Linked DNA regions of Styela clava. The protein of the gene in region 2 purifies or fractionates together with the protein of the main gene of each other region. This does not show direct contact. Links are inferred from orthologs where the notes say so. Each region holds a gene or a part of one and is shown on either strand. Other genes may lie near its edges.

Region 1 (7,666 bases), on a different chromosome or scaffold from region 2:
GCATTGGACCTTACCTAGCAGTTCTCACACATTCTGCCAGAGTGTTTGCAGGAATATGAGCATTAGGCCAGATTCCATAAGAAGTTCTTTCTTTCATGTCTTCTTCATCAGCATCGTCAAAATTCAAGGTTGCAGGAAGGAACGCAGCTCGTAGTAGATTAACAAAAAGAATTATCTGAAATAAAAAGTATTGGTATATTATTCTACATGATATTTTTATAAATTTTTCAAAAAGCAGTGCAGAGGTACATATCTATGTACAAATTTGTTACAATTCTTAACTATTTTTTGAAATTTTGAATTGAATTATTTTGCAGAAAAATATTGATATATGGAAATCATGTAACTTTTTGTTGAAATACTTTGGTAAATAATGCTTCAACTATGGATACCAGTGATCAGAGATTACCTATAAATTTTTTCATCAAAATTCCAACATTTGTCCTTTTGTCTTAAAACCCTTGAATAAATGAAAAACCATTAAAATGTGCTATAGACATTTGAGTGGCATCTATCTTATGTACAAGTAGTAATCCTCTAACAGCTATAAAAATATTGTTACACTCACTGTATCTCTCAACAATCCTTTCATTTGTTTACTATGTTTTGATGCCATTTGTTTAAGTCTGTCAACATCGGTGGATTTTTCACCAGTTTCACTCAGTATAATACCTGTATAGGAAATGAGATTGATAAACGGTTAAAAAACTGTGAAGTTAATTAAGTCCGTATTACAACATTTTTAGGTTTAAGTGATAAGGCATGATTACGGTAGTTAATATTTATTTAGTCAACTGATATTCCCAATAGGATGTGGAAAATCGATTCTTGGCTTCAATACTAGTTTCAATAAGACAAAAAAGGCTTACAGCAGGCCTGCACAACTCAAATTACGAGGGCCGCAAGCATAAATTTGAAGGCCCGGCGGGCCGCAAACTTTGCCACAAAAAAGAAACTTCAGCTTCATAAACTGCTAGTAAAAAAATAATGGGATTATTAATAGGTTGCTAATATGCACTGATGGGTGTGAGATTGTATACCGATATTGTTTTAAGCGTGATTCAGTCTGAATACGGAGATATTCAAATTAGGGTTTTTCAAACTGGGGGGGCGAGGGGTCAAGCGACGAATTTTAGGGGTCGAGAAGGGCACACCAATTTCACACAAAGTTCGATATTTATTGAAACTAGTGCAAAACATAAATCTCACGATTTTGAATATGATATAGCGTCGCGCTTGCATAACAATGCCGGCTTTGATTGTTAGACCCGAGAAGTGGCGTGTTTCCAAATCACCCGCGGGCCACACAGAAGTATCTAGCGGGCCGCATGCGGCCTGCGGGCCGTATGTTGTGCAGGCCTGTCTTACAGGATACCAGTGATAAAAATAACTTCGATGCAAAAATTATTTCAAAATTACCAGTGGAATATTGCTCCCATAGGTGCCAGTGTTCTGGAATCTGACTTACAGCAAGTTGAGCCAACTCTTCCAAAAATTCTCTGGGAACATCAGTTGTTTTAGAACTATCTCCACTGCTTGCATTGTGTTCCTTATTTGCTCTTAGCAAATACTTATCTTTGCATTTGAGAAGTTGTCCCTGGACCCACTCGTGTTGATTATTGAGACAATCCCACGCTGGGTCACCTTGCTCATGAAGCTCGAGAAGATAGCGGATCAAACTTTTCTGGCGATATAACGGAAGAGGCAATTCGACCAATTCGTTGCGGAGTTTCACACGAAATTTAGCAATCCTGTCTTCCACTTCAGCGTAGATCCGTTTGAATACGCTGACGTCGGTTTCAGCAAAAAGTGATTTTGCTTTTTCATAATCGTTGATAACGACGCTGTAATCTCCCTTCTCAATATTACGTTGAATATTCAATGGAAGATAGAACAAGAACTTGAATCGTTGGAGAACTCCAAGAGTGTTACGAATCGAGTCAGCTCGGTCCTTACTGTTTAGTACAGTGGTGAATAACAAACCAGCTTTTTCACTTGCCTCTGCTAACAGACTCTCAAGATTAGCAGTGATGTTTTCATTGTTTCTTCCAGCCTCATCTTTAATCATCCTGAATAAGAAGAATAGGATTTTTATATTCTTGCTTGGGAAGAGAAAAGTCGATACGACGTAACGAAACCATGGCCTCTCATCCTGTTACCAGTCCATGTTGGATATCGGTATAGATAGCTTGTAATTTGTTTCAGATGCATGAACTTGATATTACGAAGGTACATATTATAATATAAATACATCAAACCCTGAAGAAAATAATTCCGAATGAAGAAATGGGGAATTTATTACTAGCCCTCTATAACTAAATAGAATACAAAAAAAAAGAAAAAAAACACTTGCACTTGCCTCTGGTGAATCGATGATAACATCTCTTGCACTTCAAAAAATACCGGTAAACTGTCCTTGACATGATTCAGTGGAGCATTGTTTGTATTTTTATTCGCTCGTCGTTTCATGTAGGTATGGCCTTCTTTCAACTCTTTAAACGATGTTGTAAAATGTCGCTCAATAAGGAACCAAGCCGGCACAAAATTTTCATCAGTTGGATCGGGGCTTCCATTTGGGTACATTTCTGGCAGATTCATATTACTTGGTGCCCTGGATACAGAATCATCAGAATTAAGCCCCAATGGGTCACTTCTCAATGACAAAGCAGTTTGCTTCTGATTTCTATCGAGACGTTGGTCCACATATTCGCTCTCATCCACCCATACTGCAGATTTTTCCAGCGGGCCGACTTTTTTAGGTGGCAGACCTGTAAACCCAACAGTGGATGATCCTTTTCCTCCAGACTTTGTGAACACAATGATGTCTCCTTTACCGAAACCGCTACCAGTACGACAAACTATTTTTGAATTTGACTGCCATTCGGAGGTAAGTGTGCAATCTTTATTACATATTAACACACCAATCAGATCAGCTTTACTAGTTCCAAGATTTTCTCCACGAATTGTGATCTTCGTTAGCGGCGTTCCAAATTTTGGAGAGACTCCTGTCACAACTGGTGGTGGTCCCATTATGACCCTTGACCCCTTTCAGGAAATCTAATTAACTACCAGGCTGTACAAAGAATTAATATCACTGATTCATTACATTGAAAGAAGAAAATACAGACGGAAATGGCCACCATGTCCGCGATTAGATGGCAGGTTTTTTACAGGAATATTCACTTAAAACAGTGCCATAATGACTTACGATGAACTCAATTAATGAGGATGTTCACTTCCATTACATAACTTGACAATCGCAATAATAAAATCACATGCGCCAAGCCGTCAAAATTATCACCAATTCTAAAATTGCAACCAGCATTAATGTAAAATTATTGCGTCATAATCGCTGTGAAATTCTACAGTATTTATTTAAACAAATATGGAATAAAGTACAAACCACATACAGTGGTAAATCAGTTTGGATAAATAGTATGCTGTTCAGCAATGTTTTTTTCACTGGTTGGGAGCTACTACAAAACAATCGTCTAAGAACAAATAACAAGAAAAAAATGACTGTTTCAGACACCACAGAATACAATGCTAACCCATTATAATTATATACATACAAAACAGTAAATACGACAATTACTAATGTTTTTGTATTTGATTCTACTACGGAGTCATGAGCGGGAGTTAAATTTTATCATAAATCCTGAATCCAAAATTGCATACTTGATCGGACCGTGCAGACCTGGTGAAAATGGTGCTTGAAAAGATAGGTCTTTTTTTCCATCCCCACCATATTACCAATTTAATTTTGAACCTTTTATAGAAAGCTCTCGCCACCTTGAAAACAACACCCTCACCTGCCCTGTTTTAGGTAATTGTAGGTTCGCTAACCCTGACATCTCTGAATTCACAGATGAATTCTATCATTCTTTAATTGTAATTGGATAATCACCAATTTTTTATTATTTTGAGCGCTGGGATGTTTTTTTGTCAGAGGCTTTCTACAAAAGATCCCAATTTTTCAGACATGTCTTACAAAATCGAAGAGGACAAGATGTAACAGGTATAAATATACTGAAATCAGGAATATGTAGTACCTTGATTCAGGCAGTTTAACAACGAGATTCCTTTATTGGAAAACCATCAAGGTTATAAATCGGAATGGGTATAGTAATATTAATATTGACAATATGGTCTTAGCGACATAAGCTATCTGGGTTTGGCTTAAAACAAATACAGAATTTATGTATTTGGGAAATTTGGAATTTTATTTAATAATAAACAATCAAATTGTATACCTAGTAATTAGTAAATGATTGACTAATATGGTTGGAGTCCTCAATAGTACAGGGAGTCTTATTTTGATATGGTCATAACGTCGTAATCCAACTGGGTTTGGCTTGCAACAAATACAGGTTTTATGTATTTGGACAATTTGGAAATCAAATTTTATTTTGTATAACTGGTAATCAGTAAATGATTGACTAATAGGGGTCAGAGTCTTAAATAGTATGAGGAATCTTCTTCTAAGTGATACTTCACTTATTAATGTTACAACAATCAACTATTGGAAAATAGTATCTTAACACTTTCAAAGTCTTTGCATGTGGGGAGGGAAGGCATTTATTACCAACAGTTGTGCTTTATGAATAAATACGGATTAGAATATATTTTAATGGGCATCCTAGACAATTGACAACTTAAAAACGAGATTTAAACACTCAGAGCTAACAATAATTGAACCAGATAATAAAATAAGATACAATCAAAACCTCCTAAATTCAACAATACACCTAAATTTAGCAACTGGAATTTGGACAATATTTTTTATCATTGTATATCCATCACCTGCGTATTATCATTCTGATTCCATAGTTTGTCAAATAATTTATTCAAATACCCTCACAATAAAAGCCAGATAAAACACAAAGAATGGCAGACTGAATGAAATAATAAAATAGTAAATTAATGCGAAACAGCAATTGTGACAATATTAGACAGGCTCAAAACACATAAGCATAAAAACAGATGAATGAATTTTTTACCAAGCTAAAAAAATTTCATGGTGAACTTTTATTCGTAATAAAAATGTTTTCAATAAAATGCCTCGCCAAATACAGAGGATGAACTAATTCTTGCACCAGCCATCTTGAGTCCAATAATATCCTGGCTTTCTATAGTTTTTTGGATCATATCATACTCTCTCGCCAAAGTTTTAGACTTTAATACATTCCATCAATGTTTGAACTTCTCGGTTTCTTGATTTTTTCGATATTCTTTAGAATCAAGTCATGAAGAATGGAATAATGATTTCTCAGCTCACACACTATAAGTCTCAAGCTAAGAAATTCTTTCTCATCGATCTCCTCAACAAAGCGACGATAGTCCTCAACATGAGGATATTTTGCTACTTTGGTGATAATTTTACCTCTTGTGACAAAATATCGTGATATTTGATCTAGAAATGAAGCCGCTTCGCTTTCAACTTGTCTCAACTCTGCAAGAGTATCTTCTTGAATTGAGACTCCAAAATTATTTCCGTCTTCAATTTTTGGAATAAGATGAGTCACCCACATTCGAACAGTATTAACTTTTTCCATCAGTAGACGAATATCGGGTTTTATTCGATCGATTATTGCTATTAGATTTTTATTGCAGGGCACTGGACCACAAGCAAATGAAAATACTTTGGTACCATCAATGTCACCTCCCGGTCCTACATCAAGTTTACGTTTTTTGGGGCTCGTAACATGACCATCAACGTTATTAAAGTCTTGCACAATAACTGCATTTGGAATGGGAATTTCAAGTTTTTGTGCAATGTTTCTGACGTTTTCAGTCTGTAAAACATCTTCTTTTAAAAATTTATCTAGTTCAATACATTTCTTTGGAAAAAATTCATTGACTAAAATTTCAGCATCTTTAGCGATTCCAAGTTTAAAATCAGAAATTTCTTTCCTCAGTTGCTTATCCTTGATTTGTAAATCTTGATCCATTATTTTATTTTGATATTTTAGTAGTTAAATACCTGTAATACAAGAGTGTGGAAATGTGAAAAAAGCCCTTCTGCTATCAAATTCAGCAATTTTTACAGTACTGCAGTAAATAGTTTTAGTAGGCCTAAGTAAAAGGCTTATACATAAAAACATGAAAAACGCTAGTACTGTTAGTTTCTATAGGCCAGTGGTCTATCTGCCTGTAGCAAAATTTACAAATGGTGCCGGCCAGCCGGTAGTGTAAAGGCAGAGTAAGGGTTATTGAATTATAGGGGTAGTCACTACAGCAGCCTTCCGAACTGAGAAAAACTGACCAAACTATGTTCTTTCGGTACCGGTTACGAACGTATCGGCAGCCTATCTCGATTCCAAAACTCCAACTCTGTCACCACTGCACTTGCACGAATCAATGAGAATTCTTATCTATTTTTCTTGGTTTCCCGTACTACTGAGGAGCTATACACTACCGGTAATATCGTCTTATATTGAGATATGAAAATTAAAATCTCAAAACTTTCAGAAAACAGCCACTCGCAAAATAAATCTTTTTAGCCCATCGTGACTCATGGTATTGCGCGGAGTCAATTCCGGATAGAATAAATTCCAATGTCATTCGTAGAACTGGGAAGCGCAGTCTTTGGATTTGAATCAATATTATAATTACTTGTCTTATATACACTGAAAACGGAAACAACCTAACGTTCTTCACGGATAATTTGCTTCAAGCTGTGATAAAGTGATAACCGGACTGGGTAGTGTGCGAGTAACGAGGCTCCAAATCAAACAGACCTTAGCACGTCGTAAGATAATACTGCTGTCTTTCCTAAAAACTACGCAACAAGCTGATTAAATAGTAATTTGTAGCGCCGGAATCGTAAACCGTTTAACCGTTAGAATCACATTTGGCATCGCACCGCTGATTTCCCCGTGTGGGTCAGCAGGTGCGCATCCTGTGAAGATAATTATGTGCGAGAGACGTCCCAGACTCCTCGTCGTCGCAGGGTGGTTCACGTTTGTCAAAGAAACGAGAATTTCCCGCGGCCGATATGATTAGCCTGGTGTCACTCAATTCGACTTTCAGTGTTGTCGTGCTGATGTGATTCGTAATGATCCGAAAGCATAATCTCTCTGATTTTCATCGTTTTTTGGATTTGGATTTCATTGCATGTTCTGGTGCCGTGGCATTTTATTATAGCCTCGAGTTTCTCAAAATGTATCTAAATTTAACGTACTATCCAATCTACTTAGGTGATTAGCGTACGTATCCTCCATTATTTACCATATTATAGATGTGACAATATAATGCAATGTAACTTGTAATGCATCCTAGTATAGAAAATAGGACGTCGCTTGTCAACACCACTTTTTTATATTGGAAACTATTAATAACAATTTATATAAAACGATGGGAACCCTTTGTACAAAGTTCCCACCAGAAAACATCCCCTCCGAGGAATAACTCCAAAAGCAAGCAATAACGCGAGAAAACATTTAAAATACCTGATTAAAGTTTTTAAGGTTTGTTATTCAAGCACCAACTCTTCAATTTCTTGTCCAACACAATATAATTTTTTGCGCATAAAATTATTTGTGATCGAATTATTCAGACGAAACGGTTTACTTTCAAAATTACGAAAGCCAGAACGATTACCCTAAACATTTTATCGGCAATGTATCTGGTCAAAGTATGTTTGAATATTGAAATAAAGTTCTAG
Region 2 (7,559 bases):
ATGTCGTAAATCACTCTTGTTTCCGACTAACATGATGACTATATTGTTATCTGCATGATCACGGAGTTCCTTCAACCATCGGTCAACATTTTCATATGTCAAATGTTTTGCTATATCATAAACTAACAAAGCACCAACTGCACCCCTGTAGTACCTGTTAAGCAATAAACAATTTTTTCCATCTTTCAAGCAGGACAAATGTAGGCTTTTTTATTTTAGAAGCGTTCAGCAATATTTTCTCCAATCTCCAAAGATATTCTCATATATTCCTTTATTGGGCTCATATTTCAATGTAACGTGTGCCACAATTTGAAATATATGGTTTTTTCAAATAAAAATGAATGGTATGGAATAAAAAATAATCATACTACAACAATATAGTGTCTATATCTATAGCAATTATGTCATCCCAACAAAATGTACGGTCAGGTAATGCAGCCAATATTGCAGATTAAGATACTATATGATAATGATAATCTTACGCCGATGTGATGGCCCTGTATCTTTCTTGTCCTGCAGTATCCCATATTTGAGCTTTGATTGTCTTCCCGTCAACTTGTATACTTCTCGTTGCAAATTCTACACCGATTGTACTTTTGCTCTCGAGATTAAATTCATTCCTCGTAAATCTTGACAGAAGGTTACTTTTTCCGACACCAGAATCTCCAATTAGGACAACTGTAAAATGAAAAAAAAATCTTTGTTACACTGGGATGTTCTGATTATCCCAAAAGATACGAGTTGAAAATGAGTAACATAAAAAAAAATCTGAACTGCAGTGGACCTCAGTTAAAAAACAACTTTTTAAAATCAACTTGGTATCATTAAAGTTGTGTTCACAAGTGCATGGCTAGAATTGTTATTTATATCGACGATACCGTCCCTATTAAACTATCAGTTTGGCTTATCAAATTAATAAATGAGTTTTAATCTTTACTCATAAACTAACGATACTACAGAAAACTTATCCATTGTAAGAGCTCATGACTGAGGGTATAATAATCCATAGAATTAAATGTTCAGGTGTCTATTGATTTATTTAAAACATGTGCATGAGTGCCGATTACATACCTGTGTTTTTAATTTGAGACTACCAATCAATGTTAAATTAATTATCATGCCAATTCAAAGCCGAAACAATAACGACGAACAGGGTTTATTTTACATTACCAAGTAGCCTTTCAATTCAAAGTATTTTAATGATGTTTGTGGTTTTAAGGTTAATGAGAGAAGTTTTTATCTTGGATTTTCCAACTAACAGGTGATTTCAAATTTATTCTTCAAATTCAGAATATTAAAATTACTATTCTGACACTGACACCCATCTGGTATCTTTCTTCATATCTATTATATAACATAATTTCATGGTATAGTATTGGAAAAGAAAATAGCAGCAGAATAATGATACCTCTAAAGATCTCTCATTCCAAAGATGAATGACTTAAATATAAAAAAGACATCCATGTTCTAAAAGCCCCAAAATTTGAGTAAATGGAATCTCATTGTAAAAATTCATGTTAAAAGCTAGTTTGAGTAAATGGAAACTCATTGTAGATGTTCATGTCGAAAGATAGTTTGATATGCCTGATTTCAGGTACAATACAATGGTATTTCACATAATAAACAGTTGATGCTCTTTTTGTAAATATGAGAAAGGTCTTGTCTGGGTGCAAGCCGGCACCAACATCAGTGATGCAATACCAATAGTTCAATAGAAAGCTAATGCAAACACACAATGTATGTCAAATTTGTCTATATACTGCAAATCATTTATTAGCTCTGATGCATTACATACCCAACATAGTTGTATGCATTGATATTTAAAAGAAAATTCTTATATTCTCTTGTTATCAAGAGCTATATCAAGATAAATATCTTACACTATCTTGTATAGGCTACTAATTATAATTTGATACCAATTTAAATGTCTTCACAAAACATGTATATTTTAATAAATTTAAAAAAAATATATATTTCTCCATTTGAAAAATGCAGTCATTTTAACAACAAAATAAAGTACTACAAATAAATTCTATATATAATCAACCGCAACAAAATGATGGCCAAAAAATTGATTAATATATATGACATTTGAGTCCAACGGCAAAGCATTTTCTAGTCTAGCTAAAGTAATAATGGTGATATTACATAACCTAGTGAAAAAAATTCTAGTGTAACGTGATGTATAATTTTGAACTTTCATTTTATTAAAAACCGCCACTTTTGAATTTGTGGATGTGTAAAGGCTTGTTCATGAGCTCTAATAAGATTTCAGTTGTAAAATGCTTTAAAATAAGTATCAAAATAATTAATGATTAACAAAATTATGAATCGGCCTGAATAGACAAACACCACAGCGGTTGAAAGACCATATATATCGAGAGTTTGTATTCACAATATAGAATGTAATTTGAATTGAGAAATATGCCTATATTTGGTCTGGAGATAAATGCCTAATTTAACAAAGGATCAAGCTAGTCACATAGTATATGTCGGACATACCAAAATTTCATTTAGTGTATTTATGCCTTGATACAAACCTTTAAATAAATAATCGTATTCATCATCTTTAGTACCCATGATTTGAGTTTGTGATTTTGATTTTCAAATTTGCCCTGTGAAGATAAGTATAAAAATCATTACGTCAACGACTCAGCATCAAAAATTCAGACATTGTTCATCAATGTCGATATGCAACCAATATATTTAAAATTCAAAGGAATACATTGACATAAAAGTTTTTAATTCAGAATTACAAATTCTGGCAAATCTATGGGAAAATTTTTTAAAGTCAAAAAGTGAATATAATTTGGTAGAAGTATAACTTTTTATTAATAATGATATGTTTGATAAAACAAAACTAAAACTTACTGGTACACTGGTCCAGAGATCAATAAGAAATCCAGGTAGATTGGAGTGTGATACCCAATTGCTAAAAAGCAATTAACTGTACTGTTCTGTGGCTTGTAGAGCTTAATTAGGGAAATATGTCAATCACACTAAAATAGTCAAAAAAAGAACAAATCATATTTAGATCTTGTTTGGGCGCTCCAGAAGTACGGTATGTGTACCAATATGAAGGTAACTAATTTTGTTCAGCTACTTGACATCAAGTGTAAAGGGATGGGAGCCTATGGGCAGGGGGTATATTCACTTGGCTAACACAAACAGTGCCCAAAATCGTAATAGGACTAAAATAAGGAAAATCGGAATAAAATTATGGCCTAACCCTCACCTGGTACACATACTATGGAGATACCCTTGTTTGATATGACACTGTATGGCCACCCTCATGCTCCATGGAAACTAAACTCTCGTCATTAAAAGAACGTAACATGGTACCATTGATTGATTTTGGGCCACATTGAAAATATTATAAAGAAAGCAAGGCAAAATATAAAGTGACAAATCCATATTTTGCAAAATTAAAACTAAAATAAATATGAACTGCTCACACAATAATTAGTTTACCATTATAAATTTGGCATATGAAGGAATACTCATAAAGGATGCAAATAACAGAAACAAAAACATGGGCTATTTGATGAAACACACCATGGTATGTTCCACAACACACTGGTTTGCAGTGAAGTAGATCAAGGTGTACCAAATAGGTTTTGAGCTCAAACAGAAAGCTTATAAAATGCTTGGTCCATGCTGCACTGTTTGTTTTCAAACTACCCTTATATATTAATTAACAATTATTGTTGGGTTATTTTTACTTGATCCAAGCCTTCTGAGCATAATGAACATGAACCGTGTGGGCTTTGTCAGCATTTGAACTACCGGTATTTCACACCTGTTTTTCACTGAAATGGAGCATACTCTGCAATAATTGTTAACCCTAGGAAAATACATAGGTATGTAAATCGCATAGTGAAGACTACTGGATATAACAAAGCAAGCACTTCAGTAAGATATTAATATGACACTGCTGATATTCGTAAAATGTCAGCAACCAAAGTAGGGCCATTCCAAGGAACTGTTGAACTTCATAAATTTTTTTAATAGTGTAGTGAAAGTAATTGTTTTGTATTTTTTATATCAAAAGACACTTGAACGTTATTGGACTGCATTCATTTCACCAAAAAAGTTTAAATTTCATCCAGGTTTTTGATGATTTGAACAAAGTGGCCTGAAATGTAGAAATTTTGTTTTCTGGTGACTCATAACATGAATTGTTTGATTGTCTGGTACAGTTATTTCATTTCGAATAGATGCACTAGACTTGAGTTTGAGCCTAAGTGTTTGCAGTGCTGTAGGACATGTCTTTACCGATTTAACGATTTATTACCAGAATTTTAAGAGATGATAGAGGCTGCTGTTCCAAAGAGGAAAAATGTGTCCCGTACAATGTGCACATTATCGTCATGGATCTACAGTGTTACATTGAGTAACTTGAGTGACACAGAGGGGTCTGTCCTTCAGTTATTGCACCAGAAAATAGCTCTTGCTGTACTAACGCGACAATTTACAACACAACACAATGAAACGTTGATGCATGGTGAACTTGCCGTTCCGTAATGTCACGCTATATTTTATATCCACTAAGTGAATCTTGTTTTTACCTTTCGTGCAGTTTTGTTCAAACCCTCATAAAGCAACTGATTGGACAATGATACAAAACATGTAGCTGACAATGTGAAAATATAGTACATCTCACAAGTCCGTACATTGTTCCGTAGAGTCACTTGGAATAGCCCAGTACGCAAGTAATAAGTTCCAAACGGACGCCAAGAGCAAGTGGGACAGGACTTAACAAATCACAGCTAACCCCAATACAGCCCATGTTACAAAGGCACAATGATATTCTTTCGCTTAGAAAACAATAATACAAAAGAAAAAAATCATTGAGTCTAAAATGTTTGATGGAGCCACATAAACAAGTATGAATGAACTTATTACAGTATTTCTGTATTGTGGATGAAACAAATGTTCAAAACTGGGGTACACGTCCTCAAGTACTTCTACTGGCAGACTGGGCGTAGGATAACGATTTTCGCATATAATATTCCTAACCCCAGCGACTTCGCAGTGATGTAATTTTCGGATTACGTAGTCAGGTGGGGATTAGGCATGAGATATACAAAAATTGTCCAGCCGGGCCAATTAGAATTACTTGCTGCGTGTACTTCACGAGACCCCAAAACTGGAACCTATTTCAGGCTGTTTTGCATGTATTTGAAACAATGTTCGCAATGGCGTAGCCAGGGGGGTGGTTTTGCGGGTCGAAACCCCCCCCCCCCCCCTTTTAAAATGTAAAAAAAATAAAATCAATTTTCTGTATCATAGATAGCAATTTTCCGTAGCTTGAAATGCTTTTTAGACCCACAAGACTACTAGAAACAGGCGTATTCCAGAGTTCGATCGAACCCGCTAGCAGTTTCGGTCTAACTTGGCAAAAAAAAATTCAGAACCCCCCCCTTCGAAAATTTCTGGCTACGCCCTGGCATGTTCGGTATGATAGCAGGGGTCTGGTGTAGTTTCATAACTCAAGTACTTCCAATGGGCGTAGCATAACAACTTTTGCATATGTCAATCCCAATCCTAACCTCCACCTGACTGCGTCACTGAAAAATCACGTCAGGACGTCCTAGTGCAGTAGTGATGTAATAGGGCCCTTCAAACTATAAGAACTGTCATCCATAATGGGCAGGCGATCACCTAAATTTAAGCAAGCTATTTCTCTCGTTTTTGGATGACATCGTCAGGTGGTGGTTAGGATTGACAAAATCGTTATGCTACATCCACTAGAGGTATTTGAGATACGATACTACACAAGACCCGATAGCAGTCCTTAGCAAGCTTAATGCAGTAATGATTTCATGGTGCCGCGGTGTCCAGTAAAGTCATTATAACGATATGAGTTTTTTGAATCCAACTACTGAACTACAATATTTATCTGCAAGATGAGTCCTGTATTCTTTCATGCGCCTCGAAATACAGCATCACTGTACCTAACAGATAGATTATCAGAAACCTATAATGCCAGATCTAAAATCAAACGTTTAACCGCAAGCACACTATTTCATTGGTGGACATTCAGACATTGGGGTCTAGTAAAGTTTAGTACCACAAGTACTTCCAGTGGGCGTAGCATAACAATTTTTGCATATGTTATTCCTAACCCTCACCTGACTACAGGACTATGCCATCCAAAAATTACGTCACTACCACGTCATAGGGATTGCCAAAGTATAACTACGATCGCCCAAAATGGCATCTGCGCCGCCGATCAGAACTTGCTAAAGCCGGCGATCTCTCTCCTATCGTGATCGTTGTGACGAGAAAAATAGCTTGCTCGATTTCGGGTTATCGTCTGCGCGTTTTGGATGACCATCCGCATACTTCGGTGAGCCGTATTACGCCACTGTGACGTCGGAATGACGTAATTTTTCGGTGACGTAGTCAGGTGGGGGTTAGAATTGACATATGCAAAAATTGTTGAGCCAGGCCAACTAGAAGTGGATGTGGTACTAAACCAGTAAACTATACCAGACCCAGACATTGAGTGGGTGTATAACTGCTGAACTGTATAATGGTATCTCTCAGATGCCCCAACCCTTAAACTGATGCCTAGATGAGAGGGAATTTACAGACTATCTACGTACGGTCCCGGTACCGGTACTATATAGCATCAAAATTGTTACAATAGCATTGTGAGGCAAGTTTTATTTTTCATTGGAATGCAGGAATGGCATGCTATTTTCGGGTGGAGACTGACTCGCCATGGAGGCTGGTATGACATACCAACAGTACCAATGCGGTAATTCAGTAATATTTTGATCTAGCCAGACTGTACAGCTGTAAGAGAACTAGCAAATCGCAAGCAATACAGCAATGACCGACTGACGTCTCCACCGTCAGTCGTAGTCTACCGATAAGGTGCTGAAATAACTCTGTATCGTATACCGTAATAGTATAATGAAAATCAGATAGAACTACATCCTATCCCTGGATACGTTACACACAAGGTGGTACGCCACTTACATTATTCAACACCCTCGCATAAAATACGATAATACGACTAAATCAAAACGAAACAAAGATTTGGCCAGGCCGGCACAAACGCCCCGATGTCTCAGATTGAAACGCTTGCGCGATTAATGTGACGTCATAAATAACGACGATTTCAGGAAAATATGAGCTCACGTGACGGAAGTTGACAGGAGGAGGATGGGGTCGCGATCGGGTTTGCCGGTCGTGCATTAACTTTTGTGGTGTTTTCCCGCAGTGGGATTAAATATTTTGAAAACGAATTATTTTTATATCGAACTCACTAATAACAGCTTCTCTCATTTCAGAAAATATATATGTCACTGAGTTCTACCGTAAATATGGTTCTACCGGTACTCCTATCCTAATGATCTTGCTGTCCTGGATAAGGATTACGGAGAAGGTTCGTGTCGGCTCCGTGGAGGGAGAGAAAGGAGAAAAAGAGTAAATAGCCATTGTGGTTCTATGCTATTAAAAGTTAAATGAATCAAATACATAACTTTTGTAACTTATTTCCTGCAGTCGTGTAACGGATAAATCCAAAACGGGTTCGCTTATTATTA

Evidence for each region. Proteins that work in one complex are often made in the same cells at the same time.
Region 1: the proteins of ras-related protein Rab-11B-like (region 2) and exocyst complex component 2-like purify together in Drosophila melanogaster (affinity purification with western blotting, with the first as the bait; 3 studies listed by BioGRID). This does not show direct contact. The link is inferred for Styela clava from reciprocal best matches to the Drosophila melanogaster genes Rab11 and Sec5.

Annotation. Positions count from the first base shown.
Region 1 is NC_135250.1:5,801,058-5,808,723, forward strand, and holds the start of exocyst complex component 2-like, read right to left. Parts: upstream 3,045-7,666; 5' UTR 3,031-3,044; coding exon 2,360-3,030; intron 2,070-2,359; coding exon 1,420-2,069; intron 673-1,419; coding exon 569-672; intron 176-568; coding exon 15-175; intron 1-14. Other genes in the region: proteasome activator complex subunit 3-like, read right to left, coding at 5,178-5,951. UniProt on the Drosophila melanogaster protein: Component of the exocyst complex involved in the docking of exocytic vesicles with fusion sites on the plasma membrane.
Region 2 is NC_135262.1:17,158,925-17,166,483, forward strand, and holds the start of ras-related protein Rab-11B-like, read right to left. Parts: upstream 3,031-7,559; 5' UTR 2,872-3,030; intron 2,616-2,871; 5' UTR 2,581-2,615; coding exon 2,541-2,580; intron 679-2,540; coding exon 483-678; intron 155-482; coding exon 1-154.